Linked DNA regions of Elephas maximus indicus. The protein of the gene in region 2 purifies or fractionates together with the protein of the main gene of each other region. This does not show direct contact. Links are inferred from orthologs where the notes say so. Each region holds a gene or a part of one and is shown on either strand. Other genes may lie near its edges.

Region 1 (7,480 bases), about 21 Mb from region 2:
AGGAAAACTAACGGGGCAGTTCTACTCTTATTATATAGGGTTGCTTATGAGTCGGAATCCACTCAACTGCAATGGGTAAAGTAATATTCTCAAAAAAAAAAAAAAAAATACGGTATACAAAGTTACACATTCAATTGAGAACCATGGTCTTCAAGTTATACGTTATTTACCATTATTGTTCTTTCTAAACCTGTATATTCTTTTTCAATGTCTTAAACTGTGACAAATCTTAGTTGTTTGAAAAGAGATTTAATTTTTGGCAAAACAGTCTGAAGTCACTTGAACCCAAAATAAATAAGGTAGAAAAATGGCCAAGTTACATTTCTGATTTTTAAAAAATGAGATGCAGCTATTAAGTAACGAACTTGATGTAGATTGGCTTCAATGCCAGCAGCATTCCTGAAGAAAGAAACCTTGCTCTTGTGGTGACTTTCTGCCAGCAGGCATTTCTGTCCAAAGCTCTGCCACAGCACTCCTCCCTAGGGCCCCAGTCAGCCACAGGTGGCCTCTGCCACACCCAAGGAACTCCCCAAACCATGAGAGAAGTCCCAGGTGGATACCCTCATTTTTGTATGTCCTTTAAAACAAAAACTGAACACTCAATTCTTAGAATTTGGATGGCCCTTAAGGGTAACTTTTACAGGTCCTAAGTTTTCTTATGTAGGTTAAATGGATTCCTATGGGTAACTTTTACAACTGCTCTTAAGTAAGCAATATTTTTTTACATAGGCAGACATTCCTGTTGTAACCTTCCTCATACTACTGATTTAAATAGTAAATTCCTTTGGGTTACCTCATATTCTCAATTTATTCTCTCTGTAGATTTAGTTTTCCAATAAAAACAGAGCATCAAGAATCTCAAAGGATGACAACTGTGTGGACAAGGTGCATGGTTTATACCATTTACACCATTAAGACAGTATAAATGTGTAAGATCAGGAAGACGATGACTGCACACGGGACAACCGAAGAGAGGAGCCAAGTGTGGTCTGCGCGGTGGAGCAGAACGCTAATCTAGGAATGCTTTACTCCTGGGTCAACTAAAGACTTTGTGGATTTTAATTTTTTTTTACCCATATGCAGAGCTCATTTTAATAAAATAAGCCATAGGCCCTCACAGTTTCAAAAGAAAAATAAAACCGAGAACCATAAAACACAAAAAATTGTACAAATGGATTAAGACATTAGACAATTAGAGGTGGTTCTATTCCCGAGTCCAACACTCCACCAAAATTACTGGCACGTAGTTACTTAGCGTTGATTTTATTGAGAGGCAGGACCATTTTCTATGGTTGTAAAAAGAGATGCTGAAATACTCTTCTACAGAGGCAGACTGCTGCAAAACCTACAGATTAAGATTACATACAGTGGACCCAATGAATTTGTTTAGCACCGGCCTGTTTTAATTTCCTCATAAGCTTAACAGTTTTTCTTCCTAATAAAAAAAAGTTAATCTAGACTTTCTTCTCTCCAAAGTCACCCAAGTTAATACATCAGCTGCTGCACAGCACTATAGTAAGTTACTAAAATAAAAAAAAAACGCAAAAAGAGAAAACATAGGTTGTTCAACAGGAAGTTTTGAAAGATGCAAGACTTAAAAACAAAGTAAGTTTAAATACATGCCCTGTTGAATTTCTTTTTCCGCCCACAGGGACGCGGAATTTTAGCTTTCCTAATTGATCTAAACTCAAAGCAAGCATGAAAACACATATATGTGTATGTTTACTTAATGCCGATCTCAGACCTACAAGAAGTTAACTACTAACAGGCATAGATATTTATAAACCATCTGCACCGAGTGACCCAGGATTCAATTACAACATCAACCCTCATATTTCAGCGTATGGGCAAATTACCAGTCCAGTCAAGAATAAATTCATTCTGCTCTACTGGCGCTTTAGATCGAGTTGCACAATCCCAGGACAGAACTGCTTTCGCCCAGCCCTAGAGCATCAGGTACTAAGTGGTGTACAGTAAATTAACATCAAGACATTTTAAAGCGGGAGCCAAACTTAGGGGTTGCTTGAACTTAGCCCGTACTCGCGAATTCAGGAATTTGTCACTGTCACTTGAGATCAGAGTGAAATTAAGTTCCAATCCCTTTGAGATCTCTTAGCGCACAAAGTCAGGCTGCTATCACTCTAAGGAGCTATTTGGTGCGGAACTCGCGCGCGTCTTTTCCAGCCACCATGGGGCCGCACCCGCTGAGTCGCGCGAGGAGCCCCGGCGCGAGTTTGGGGGCTCAGCGGGGCCCAGCGGGGGCGGCGAGCGCGCGTCCCCCCGCCCGCTCAGGCGGCGTTGAGGCGCGAGCAGCTCAGCCAGCCTTGCAGAGGGAGCTCTCGGCAGCGCTGGGGCCCCTCTGCTCGCAGCCGCAGCAGCGCCGCCTGCGCCACTCGGCGGAGACGGAGACAAGCGGCGACGGCGTGCAGACTGGGAGCGACCGCCCAGCAGCCAAGCGGCGGGGGACGCACACAGGCGGCCCGGTAGGCTCCGGGGACCCGGCGGGCGGAAGGATGGGCAACCCGGAACGCGTCGGCCAGGGTCTGACACCCATACTGGACGGAGATCCGACTGCGCGCATGGTGGTAGCGGTCCGGACCCTTGGGCGAGGCGGTTGCGGAAGCCAGGGCGAAGAGGTCGCTTCTCGGTTGGGGCCACCCGTCGCGGGAGGGGCGGAGGACACAGGGCGGGCCGCGGCCGGGCAATCGGCCGGGCCAAGAGCCGGCCTCGAGGGCAGAGACAAAGGAAGGAAAATGGAGTCGCCGGGCGCGCGGGCCTCGGTCGCCGCCACCGCCCGAGGCCTATCGCGCCGCCAGGAGGGAGGCCCAGCGGGCGGGCGAGGGGGGGCAGGCCGGGCCGCGGCGACGGGCAATGGCGGCGGCCGCGCCGCAGCAGGGACGGTAGAGGGAGACAAACACCCCCCGGCGGCGGCGCTGGCGCCGGGCTGCAGCCAGCGCCGACCGGAGCGGCCCCATCGTGACACCTAGAGGCGGCCCGCGAAACCTCCTCCACCCCGGGCCCCCTTACCTCCGCGCCACACCCCCCGCGGCGCCCGCTCCGCCGCCGCTCCCCCGCTCCGGCCACCCGGCGTCCCCGGCCAGCTCCGCGCGTCTGCACCGGCCACCGCCACCGTCGCTGCCGCCAAAGAAGCAGCTCCGCGCACGGTTTAATCGCTCCACAGGCTCGGACACAAAATGGCGGCGGCGCGGTGAAGTGCGCCTGCGTCGGCGCTGCCGGGGCCGCGGGTGCTGATAAGGGAAGGGACGGGTGGGGGGGCCGGCCGGGCGGCGAGGGGAAGGCGGGGGAGGAAAGGTGAGGGGAGGGGTTGGCGCGGGGCAGCATGGGAGGCGGCCCCGGGCGCCAACTTTCAAAACCCGGCGCGATGGCGTCACGGGACGCGCCCGGAGTCGCGTCACGCCGCACGCGCCCTCCCGCGCCCTCGCCCGTCACGCGTGGGCCCTGTGGGCGTCGTGCCATCCGGGTCCTGCTGGGCGGGGCTTTTTGGGGCCCAGGCCGCAACTTTTGGGCTGTCCCGGGTCCCCGGCGCTCTTGACCTGGTTTCCTGGCTGCAGCCTCCAGCACCCGGAACCCCGGGAGATTTGCGGGGGCGGGGAAGGGAAAGCTGTAGGAAGCGCGCGCGAGGCCGAACCGTGAGGCTGAGGCGGCTCCTGGGCCCAGCCCCGCCCCAGTCCCCGCCTAGCCGGGCCGAACCCGGCCTCCGAACGCCGTGTCGTGGGCTGCCACGGAGAAAGGCTCAGCTTGTCCCAGCGCGCTCCCATCTCCCCAGCCTGGATCCAGCACCTGAAAACGGCGAAGGAGGGCTGTCCTTGCCCAGCGACATTTGGTTTACTTTTTCCGCCCTAGAGGAGGGCCTCCTGAAACCAGGTGCGAGAGAGGAGGGTGAAGACCTCCACTCGGTGACCCACAGCCCACCTCAGCCCAGAGAGGCCAGCTTAAGACCAGACTTGAGGATTTTACAAGACCAGAGCGGTCCGTCTTTTGCTGAAAGGATATTTTGTGTATTCGGTGCAGTGTAATTTTGTATTTTAAAACGTGGATTTCTGTCTTTGCCTATGAGCTTCTAAGTTGTCTGTGGGCGGAGTCCTTCAGCACTGAATAGTGTGGCCGCCTCCCCTTTCCCCAGCTTGCACTTGTGGACCTTAAGCGGCCAGCGAAAATGTTGACTGAGGACTGCCTGGAAGGTGTTCCGGTGTCTTCGTGAGAAGATCCCTTTAGTGCTTCTGAGAATCTGACTCAGGACTGTATTGTCAACCCCCTTACCTAGATATCACGGATAACAAATGGACTCAGCGTCAAGGGGGCAGCATTTGCTCCACTCAGTCGATTGTTCCGTTATGATAATGCCGGCCCAGTATTGACAAGTCCTCTGGTTTCTTTCAAGAGACCCAGGCATATGGTTTTTTAAATATAATTCTCCAGGTTTTCAGATGGTCATGGTGGTGCATTGGTTAAGCTCTGGGCTGCTACCGGAACTGCCAGCTGCTCTGCAGCAGAAAAGACCTGGCCTCTCCAGTAAAGACTTCACCTAGAAAACCCTTTGGGGCAGTTCTGCCCTGTCCTGTAGGGTGCTATGAATTGTAATCAGATCGATGGCAAACAACTAAAGTAGATGTTTTTAAACTACATGATATTAAAGCACACATCTGAGCTGTCAATTTCTGGTCTCTGACTTCAAGATCATCTCGGGCACTCCAGTATTTAGAGATAGGTTAATGGAGGACACAGAGTGATCAACCAGGAAGGTAGAAGGAAATCCATGATAGTGTTGAGTTGTGGAATCCAAAGGCAGAGAGGGTTTCAGGAAGGAGAGGAATGGTCAGTTGTGTTTAGTGTTACTGAGAGGTCTGGTAAACTTGGGCCAGAGATATGGCTAATGAATTGGTCACTTTGGAGGTCACTGGAGGATATTGATGGCCTTGGCTAGATTAGCTTTGGTAAATTGGAAGGTGGACCTGACTAAAGTGGGTTGAAAAGTGAATGGGAAAGTGAAGAAATAGAGACAGCACATATAAGCAACTTAAGACAAGTTTTTTTGTCAAAGGGAACAGAGAAATTTGGGGATAACTGTAGAAGGACATGGGCCAAGGGAGAGAATGCTTTAATAGATAGTAGAGTTCTAGAGTGTGATTGTGTGCTGTGGAGAGGGTGATGGTGATGGGTGATGCAGAAAAGAGAAGATTTGACAGTAGGAGTGAAATCCATGAAAGATATGAGCAAACAGGGTTCATAGCACCTGAAGAGGATTGACCTTGGATAGGAACAAGGATGCTTTTACCATGATAATAAGGTGACAAAAGTGAAGAGGCTTGCCAGTGCAGGGGAGAGGGAAAGCAAGTTTACTGTGTAAACCTAGCAGGACTGCCTTGGCATTGGGTACCGATTTGAGGTTTGTGATCATGAGTTTAAAGTTAAACCACTTGACCCAGTTGTGTGGTTTTCCTCCAGCAGCATTCAACTGCTTGAGAACAGGCATGAAGAAAAGAGATATGGTTTTTTAACACAAGTACAGTACCCAGGTACTTGCTTTATGCAATTAGATGCTCTTCTAGAAATGTGTCAAGTCTTTAGAAAATTAACATGTGACTCCTATCTTTCTAGAAACCAAATTATACTATTTGTCTTTTATGTTCACATTAAGACTTAACTATAATGAAAAGACAAACTTAGAGAAAAATTACCGGGTAACTCTGGGATATTTGCATTTTGCATTTCTTCACCCCCCCGCACCCCCACCCCAAATAGTTCCTGGTATAATTAGGAATAGCAAAGCTGACTTCCTCTAAATTGTTAGCTTCTTTTTTTTTTTTTTTTTATTAACTTTTATTGAGCTTCAAGTGAACGTTTACAAATCAAGTCAGTCTGTCACATATAAGTTCATATACATCTTACTCCTTACTCCCACTTGCTCTCCCCCTAATGAGTCAGCCTGTTAGCCTCTTTTGGGCATCATTAATAATCTATTCACTATCTTTTAGAACTTTATCTCAAACCATTATTATCTTCCTATCTTTAAGAGTAAGCTACATCCACATTGTATGTTAGTTTGTTGTAGACAGCATATAGTTGGGTCTTTTTTTTTTTTTTTAATCCACTGTCAATTTCTGTTTAATTGGTGAATTTGGGCTTTTTTATTTAGTGTAATTGTTGATATGTTAGAGCTTAAGTCTTCCATTTTGTTTTTTGTTTCCTGTTCCTTGTTTTCTGTTTTATTTTTCCTATCTTTCTGTGGGTTACTAAAACATTTTTTAGACTTCCATTTTAATTTACATATAGTGCTTGGAGTGCATCTCTTTGTATAATTACAGGAACATCTTCTAAACTTTTAGTGTGAGCAAATATAAGATGATGTATTCAGGGGGAAGAATGTCATCTGTATTTACAACTACATGACCTGTGAGTTACCAGTTAGAAGCAAGAAATGGGGTCCAGGTGGCCTTGGAGTCTGCTTTCTGAAGACAAAGACTCCATTGGCCACTGTGGCACAAGGATGAGAAAATGCTGAGGATCACTAGGAAGGAACCAAAGGAAATGCTTTCTTCTTGTAGGAAGTCATGGTGTGTCTTACTTCGTGGTATTAGCTACATGGGGATCTCTAGATGGGAAACTCCAGAGATCTGGTTACTTATTTAACTTAAATGTTTAATATTACCAGCTCTGGATGCTGGAGTCATTGTTCTGGATTCAGGTCCTGTCTTGGTGCCTTGTTAGCTTTGTGGTGTCAGGTGAATTATCAACTACCCAGCTGTAGGTTTCTCCTCTAAAAAAGCATGATAATTGTACAACTTCACGTAATGGTAAGGATTAAATGAGAAAATGCAAGTAAAGCTTTTGGCATAGTTCTAGGCACCAGTAATCATACAGTAATGTAAACTGTTATAATTTATTTTATTTTTGTGCTTCAATTACCTACTTTTCACTCCTAGCTCTGCCTTCTGATTGAACATAGGCTTTCTAGGTTTATTAGTAGAATCAGTTAAGTTACTGACTAGGGTTTCTCTGACCTGGTGCCTCTTCTTTCTGGGAAAGGCATACTTGGTGCTATGATTCTCAGAGATCTCTTGCCAAGATCTTCCTTGGCTCCCACTGTTGCCCTCTTTAAAGCTTGCAATAATTGTGATCATTTATATGTTTTGAACTGTTTAAGCAAGATAATTGATAAATGGAGGATGTGTTTATTTTCTACATAACAATGGGGTAAGGCCTAAAGTTAGACCTGAACGCTCCTGCTGCCTCTGTGCTTATTGGAGGACACGTGTAAGACGTGATCAATTCAGCAACCATTTATTGAGTACATGCTGTGTGCAGCTCCCTCTGCTAGGCATTGGGAATACAAAGAGGGCCCACGGTGTGTTTCCAGACCTTGAACTCAAAGTTTAACTGGTAAAACTGGTAGAAAAAAATGAGAAACCATTAATGTGATTGTTGTTATAATGGAAAGAAATACATTGTTGTGGACTCA
Region 2 (7,546 bases):
GAGTTTAGGGAATCGGTGGTGGCAGCTCAGATGACAGGTGCCGGGTCCATGGGACTTACTGTACTACCACCTGACAGGTTCACACCACCAGGCTTGTGGTTCCCCACGTCATTTCCTAGGACCATAGTGACCACACTACTGAGATGGAGGAACAATGACAGGTAGTATCTGAGCACCTCACACATTGTGTGATCCTGCCTGGGACACAAGCTGGCCACCCACACAACCCCCAGTGGCTCCAGTATACCAGCAGCCTTGAGGTCACCCCAAGTCCTTGGATGCCAAGTAGATTAGAAATTACTCTGGTTAAAAAAGTGATGTTACTTAATGACCTCTCCATAAAGCAAGCTGCCGTTCTGCACATCTCCAGGCTGTACCAAAGCCCTTCATCTCCTGCGCAGCCTGGACCCATGGTGCTGAAGCACTGTTCAAGGCCCAGTGCCCAGCTGGCCACTCACACACTGAAGACACCACGTGTTTCACTGCTTTTATTAAAGGTCTCTGACAGAGGTTTACTTTTTCTTCTCCACATCCTGCTCTGCAGCCTCCTTGGCCCTCTTTGCACGGATCCCAAAGAGCCGGGCGTTGGCGCGGGCCATGCGGAGACTGGCAAATGCCTTGAAGTCTTTCTCTTCCTGTGTGATGGCCCGGGCTTTCTCCTTCTTGTAGACCTGAAGGAGAGTGGAGTTGGAGCCATCAGCTGAGCCACCGCACCCCAACAAGTAAGGGCCAAGCTTGCTGGAGTCCGGTGAGGGACACCACGGGGGACCTAAGCAACAACGAGGTGACACTGAGGCTGCCAAGAAAAGGGCTGACAATGACCCTCCACAGGATCTAACGGTTTCCCTGCATTTGTGGGTTTCTGTTTACTAACTGCTTTTAAGAGAATCAAGAATTAAAAACAGAAACTCTGACCACAAGCTAAAGAAACCATCTCAGATCTGTTTGGAGTGTCCTAGCTGGAGGCAAGCATTGCTACACATACAGCAGCAGGACTGACTGAACAAACAAATCTGTCCACTTACATTTCGTATGGGCATCACCGGTCCAGTCAGCTGAGTGGCCAGTTTGAGTTCCTCAGCCTGTTTATTTAAGACAAAAAAGATTCTGGGGCTCAGTCTCCCTGAGGAATCCAGGCTCCCACTACAAGTCAACATGGTATGTGAGCTGTGTGATATCCGTTTTAACCCACAATAGATAAGATACACTCATCTCACCCTGCAAACCAGCGGCCTGGCATGTGAACTGGGGTGCAAGTGAGAGCCAAGTATCTACTTGAGCTCAAAGCCTTTCCCCAACCCAATGCTAGAAACTTCAGAAATAACAGTAACTCCCATACAATAAATGTTATTAACCTTATCCTACAAGGCCTGTCTAAGAATATGTTTCCCACATAAAGCATTTTAGACTGACACGAGCTTCCACTGAAATAAGCAAACTACTCCAAGACAAACAGCTTTTACTGTGACCAAGAAATGGAAAACGATCAGTCAGAAGGGCAGTTGGCCTGGGCAGTTGTACTGCTGAAAATGAGAATTCTACGGGGCCAACTTCACAAGTCACTCAACTCTTGACCACCCACATATGAGGCCCAAATGCCTAAAGTTTGGAAGGTAAAAAAAAACACATTTTCTTCTCATCCCAGCCAGACAAAACACAGATTTCTTTTTATTTGATTTGGATCTCTCTACTGGCCCTGACCAGGCCCCCTGAGCATCCTGTAACACCCTCTTGCTATACTACCCACCCCCCAGTGGTGCCAGTACAGGATACTCACAGAGCTGTCTCCCTTCTTGGGGGCGGAGGGCTTCCGGGGGAAGAGGATGAGCTTGGAGCGGTACTCCTTCAGCCGCTGCACGTTGGCTTGAAGGGACTCGGTGGACTTATTCCGCCTCCGCGGGTCCACGGAGATCCCAATGGTCCGGGCCACCTTTTTGTGGATACCAGCCACCTGCTCCAGAAACAGAAGGTGAAGCTCCACGGGCTCTCAGGCCTCCAGGCCCGCACAGTAGCGCTCGGTCGTCAGATGGAAAAGGGTTCAAATGAGCTTTCATCAAAGCAGTACAGCGATTCCGGAGACTGTCATCACGTGAACGAGCTACCATCACAGATAACTTCATAATGATACAATTTTGTGGACACTCACCCTCAGCTCTTCCAAACTGAAACCCCTGCCAGCTCGGACTTTGGTGTGATAACGGACTGTGGGACACCGAACTATGGGCCGGATAGGTCCGGATGCAGGGCGAGGAGCGATGCGGCGTGCTTTGGCTTGTCGGGCCTTGCGTCTGGTGAGAGAGAAAGCAGGCAACAGTTACCTTCACCTCAGGGAGGCCCTCCCCTCGGTCGAAGCCTGCTATTAACTCCAATCAGTTCCTTCCCAACTCCTGCTTACCATCAACCACATTACTGCAGTGTTAGTACTTCCACCTTAAGACAAAACCCCCAAAAGCTCAAGCAGGGCTCAGCAGAACTCTGAATAAAAAGTCCACGATCATCAGGTGGAAAAGACTTTTCATCAAAGCAGTACAGCGATTCCGGAGAATGTCATCACGTGACCGTGTGCCCCCGGTGCTCGTGCGCCTGGGACCCTCACCTGCGGATCTTCCGCGCTGGCTGGTTGAACCACGTGGCCACACGCCGCTGCCAGTCCTTGTGGAAGTGAGGCTTCAAGATCATGCCATTCCGGCTGGGCGCCATGGCTGCCTATGGCCCTGGGCCCCACGGAGAAGGAGGGACCAGGTTAAGGGCCGGGCTCCTGCCGGACCGGACGCCGCTGCCCACCACCTGGCCGCCCCGCCCGCCGCACCCCCAGGTCTCGGCCGGGGTCTCCTCCCCGGGCTCCCGGCGGTGCCTCCGAAGGCCAGGCCGCGGCCCGACGCCCTCTGCGGCAGACAGGAGCACTTGGTCTGGCCCTCCATGGCCACAGCAGCAGCGGCCCCACACCGATGGCAGTGGATGGAATCGGATGGGGCCCGATGGCGACGCGCTACAGCCCACCTACCTCCTCAAAGCGGAACGGCCGATCAGAAAGGAAGCGGGGGCGCAAAGCACCCTGGGATGTAGTGGGCCTAGCCTATCAGAAGCGCCGAAGCATCCTGACCCATCGCAGCCAAGAGCGACGGAAGTGACGTCACCGCGCGCCCAAGACCCTTTGTAAACATGGCTCCCGCCTCAGTAGCTGGGCATCAGTGCTGGTTCTTGATTGTCCGGCTGGGAAAGCCCAGGAGCGTGGCTGTTTGCCGAGCCGACCTGCTGGGCTTCTGTCGTCGCTTTGCTCTTTGCAGCTGCGGGAACGCCCGACGGCGCTTCAGCCAGTTAGCAATGCGTCGTGCCTGGGACCCTCACCTGCGGATCTTCCGCGCCAGCTGGTTGAACTATGTGGCCACGCGCCGCTGCGAGACCTTCTAGAAGTGGGACTTCAAGATTATGCCATTCCAGGTGGGCGTCATGGGTGCCTATGGCCCTGGTCCCCACGGAGAGGAAGGAGCCAGGCTCCGGACGGACCGGGCGCCGCTGCCCACCATCTGGCCGCCCCGCCCGCCGCGCCCCTACATCTCTGCTCGGGGTCTCCTCCCTGGGCCGCCCCGCCGCTCCTCCGAAGGCCTGCGAATTCGTGCCACTGTCCCCCTGTGTGCGGAACAAAACGGGGCGATTCCTGCATTTGTAAAGTTAATTACGCGAATAAAAGTGCAGCCATCGTAGGAGATAAAGGGAAAAAGTGGCGGTTTGAACTCAGGGAACTCACGGTTAGGATTCTGGGAATTTCACTGTTTTGCATGTTTATGGGACACGGTGGTTGAGGGGCGCAAAGGCAGGCAGGCTTTAAGGAAATGTGGATTCTCGTTGCAGTCTATTTCCCCTCCCATCCATTTGGAACATTCACGGCCCCTTTTTAAAGCAAAATCAATACTTACTAATTACTATACGCTAGGCACGCAGAACAGTACTTACACACTTTAACATTTACTCCTCACATCCACCTCATGTCGTAGGGGCTACTGTTGGCCGTTGACCCCACTTTCCAAATGAGGCAACTTGGCAAAGGTATTAGGTAACTTATCTGAGGCCATGCAACTAGTAGTAAGGGGGACTGGTAGTAAAAATCTAAGTGAGCAATTCCAAAGGCCATACTCTCATTCACTGTGCAAGCTAACTCCCTTTGCAGAGATAAACATCGTGAAAAAATATTAAGTAGCCAGTCACCTGTTCCCAGTCAACATACCCTGTTCATCTGTCCCCCAGGACAAGGCAACATCCAACAGTACACCTTTATATCCCCAAAACTCTTTCTTCCCACCCTCACCCCACTCACAGGCATCTTGCTCGTAAAACTCTATCGGCAGTTGTGACACTCAATGAGATATTTGAAGGCCTGTGTCCTGCACTGAATAAGTTGCTGATAAAGTTTCCTGCTTTATTGAGAAACCTGTGGGTGTTAGAAAACTAAGGTTGAATAACAAGTTTATGATCAGGAAAACGGAACATGTAAAAAGAGCAAAAACGTGCGATAGCTACGACGGTCTGTCAGGCAAATTCATTGAGCCTACATGGAAAGTACAAACCCTGGCTCTGCTGCTTAATAGATGTGTACCCTTATGAAGCCAGGGCCCTATCTGCCTTGCTTGCTGCACAGCACACAGCTGTGAGCAAACGAAATGCCATAAATGGAACCACTTTTTAGTAAACTTTGAAGTGGTATCTATCTGTGAAGTTAGAGTGATGTTTAAGAATATGGTCCATACCACTAAGAACTCGAGAAATAGTTTAAACAGAAGAGAATATTCTTTTATGGTTGGGAGAGGAGTTTTCACTAATTATAGAGTAGATAAGAACTATTTTAGGTGAAGGGAAAGACAACACACAATACAGGAGAGGTCAGCACAACTGGACTAAACCAAAAGCAGTTTCCTGAATAAATTGAGCACTTCGAAGGCCAGCGTAGCAGGGGTCGGGGTTTGGGGACCATGGTTTCAGGGGACATCTAAGTCAATTGGCATAATATCATCTATTAAGAAAACATTCTGTATCCCACTTTGGAGAGTGGTGTCTGGAGGTCTTAAATGCTAGCAAGTGGCCATCTAAGATGCATCAATTGGTCTCAACCCACTTGGAGCAAAGGAGCATGAAGAACACCAAAGACACAGCATGATTATGAGCCCAAGAGACTACATCAGCCTGAGACCAGAAGAACTAGATGGTGCCCGGCTACAACTGATGACTGCACTGACAGGGAACACAAAGAACCTCTGAGGGAGTAGGACAGCAGTGGGATGCAGACCTCAAATTCTCATAAAAAGACCAGACTTAATGGTCTGAGACTAGAAGGACCCCGGAGGTCATGGTTCCCAGACATTCTGTTAGCCCAAGACAGGAACCATTCTTGAAGCTAACTCTTCAGACAGGGATTGGACTGGACTATGGGATAGACAATGATACTGGTGAAGAATGAGCTTCTTGGATCAAGTAGACACATGAGACTATGTTGGCATCTCCTGTTCTGAAGGGGAAATGAGAGGGTAGGGATGGGCAGAAGCTGGCCGAATGGACACAAAAAGAGAGTGGAGGGAAGGCGTGTGCTGTCTCATTAGGGGGAGAGCAATTAGGAGTATACGGCAAGGTGTTTATAACTTTTTGTATGAGAGTCTGACTTGATTTTGTAACCTTTCACTTAAAGCACAATAAAAATTTAAAAAAAGAATATAGTCTGTGGAGTTGTCTTGGGTTCTACCTTTGTACTAGTTCTGAGACTTTGGGCAAGTTTATTAAAGTTATTTAAGCTTTTCCCATCTGAGAAGTGGGAGCAGCTGCTGTGAGGACTACACGTACCAGGACACGGCACAGTGCCCAGGGTAGGAGAAGTCAGCGACGGTGGTGGTTAATGTCACATGGCTCCACCAGCGCTGTGTAGCCTTCACCACAGCAGAGAAGGAAGAAGGGAATTATTACCCAGGGGTTACCTCTCTACTTAATCCTCAGACACCTCGGGAGGGAGGGATTATCATCCTCATTCCGCCAATAATCTGTACTCTGGAGTTGGGGTTTGAACCCCCACCTACTCCACACTGGCAGCATATAGTATAGACTAACTTGGGAAAACATTTGTAGGTTAAATGTTGCTTTAACCCACGACAGATTTCTATGAACTAAATCAATTAATATGTCTGCCCCAACTTCCCTCTCCCAGGCCCCTTTCACTGCTCTCACAACGAAATGCCTTGTTTTTTTTATCTCTAGGACATTCCTATCCCTGTCCCCATTTTCACCTCTAGGATAGACCTGCTGCTCCACCCAAGCTCCAGCTGCCCTTCATTAAGAGCTGCTGAGAGACTGGTGGCAGTAGGCCATTTGAGCCCTGCTCAGAATCCAGCAAGCTGTGTGACAGCCAAGCTGTAATCTGAGGACCTGGCTTGTTGTGCACAACCCAGATGGACATGGGGTACAATTTTTCCATGCCTGACTGCTCCATACTTCCTTCGAGAAGTATGCAAAACAGAGGCAGAAAACGTCTGGTATGAAATTGTGCTGCCTGCACACTCAGCTTTCCCAGGTGGAAGGGTTGAAGAAAGAAGCAGTTATGAGGAGTCCTTCTGAAATGAAGACTTGGCTGGCTCAAGGGTTTTAAAACATCTCTAGTTATACGGACAGTCCCTGTCCCCCTTGGCACAGGACTCTGCAAACCTCACCGTGCCTATGGCTTTTATCCCAGGTTTGTGCCTGCAAGGCCCCTGAAGGGCTAGTTAATGCCGCTGAACGCAGTGCTCAACCAAGTAGGGTCTGGGAATTCCTGGACAACACCGTGGAGGGACAGGGTGGTGGTATTGTATACAGGTCCCAGTGAGGGGGGTGTATGCACGTCCCTGGGAGAGGGTGTTGTACATGTGCCACTTTGGTAGGGGGTTTTACATGGGTCCCTGTGGAGGGCAGAGGGTTGTACACGGGTCCTCATGTTGAGGGGTGGTGTACATGAGTTGGAGCTGGCCATGTGGCACAGAGCTAGGCCCTCCATATACAGAATTTATTATTAGCATCACAACCATTCTCAGGGGTCACCATACCACTTGGATGACCCAGAAGGAAAGCTAGCTCAACCTGCACCCTGTGATCAGCAGTAGGTGGCAGTATGTGAATGTTGTAAAGCAGGGCCCAGCAGGGGGGAAAGGGGACAGACGGTCGGCCCGCAGAGCTGTGGAGGCCCTGAGGTCAGCAGTGCCTTATGTGGAAAGCGAGAATGTCTGTGAACTCCTGGCATTTGAGGACTGCTCTACACTATACTTGTCACACGCACCAAAATCCTCCCCACGAGGGAAATGACACACAAATGCAAAATTAAACCACTCGTCTCTGCAAAGAAGTTTACTAATTGCACAGGGAAATGGAGAATGAGCCTCGGACCCCTCAGCAGAGACATCAAGGCCTGACAAAGGAGGACAGGCCTCAGGGAAGTCCGGTCCCCAGTGCCAGAGGACATGCGAACCCCAAATGATCAAAGGCTCAGACTACTTGGGCCAGGAGGGCTCTTTGTCAGGCTCCTCTCCACGGAGCG

What was found.
Region 1: the proteins of RPL13 (region 2) and CTCF purify together in Homo sapiens (affinity purification with mass spectrometry; 3 studies listed by BioGRID and IntAct, with this or other methods). This does not show direct contact. The link is inferred for Elephas maximus indicus from reciprocal best matches to the Homo sapiens genes RPL13 and CTCF.

What each region holds. Positions count from the first base shown.
Region 1 is NC_064839.1:34,059,523-34,067,002, reverse strand, and holds the start of CTCF (transcriptional repressor CTCF), read right to left. Parts: upstream 3,236-7,480; 5' UTR 3,028-3,235; intron 1,941-3,027; exon of another isoform or gene 1,857-1,940; intron 1-1,856.
Region 2 is NC_064839.1:54,753,079-54,760,624, reverse strand, and holds RPL13 (60S ribosomal protein L13), read right to left. Parts: upstream 3,110-7,546; 5' UTR 3,005-3,109; intron 2,715-3,004; 5' UTR 2,701-2,714; coding exon 2,597-2,700; intron 2,554-2,596; exon of another isoform or gene 2,479-2,553; intron 2,289-2,478; coding exon 2,147-2,288; intron 2,089-2,146; exon of another isoform or gene 2,004-2,088; intron 1,952-2,003; coding exon 1,778-1,951; intron 1,083-1,777; coding exon 1,026-1,082; intron 672-1,025; coding exon 513-671; 3' UTR 474-512; downstream 1-473. Other genes in the region: SPG7 (paraplegin), read right to left, coding at 7,500-7,546. UniProt on the Homo sapiens protein: Component of the ribosome, a large ribonucleoprotein complex responsible for the synthesis of proteins in the cell.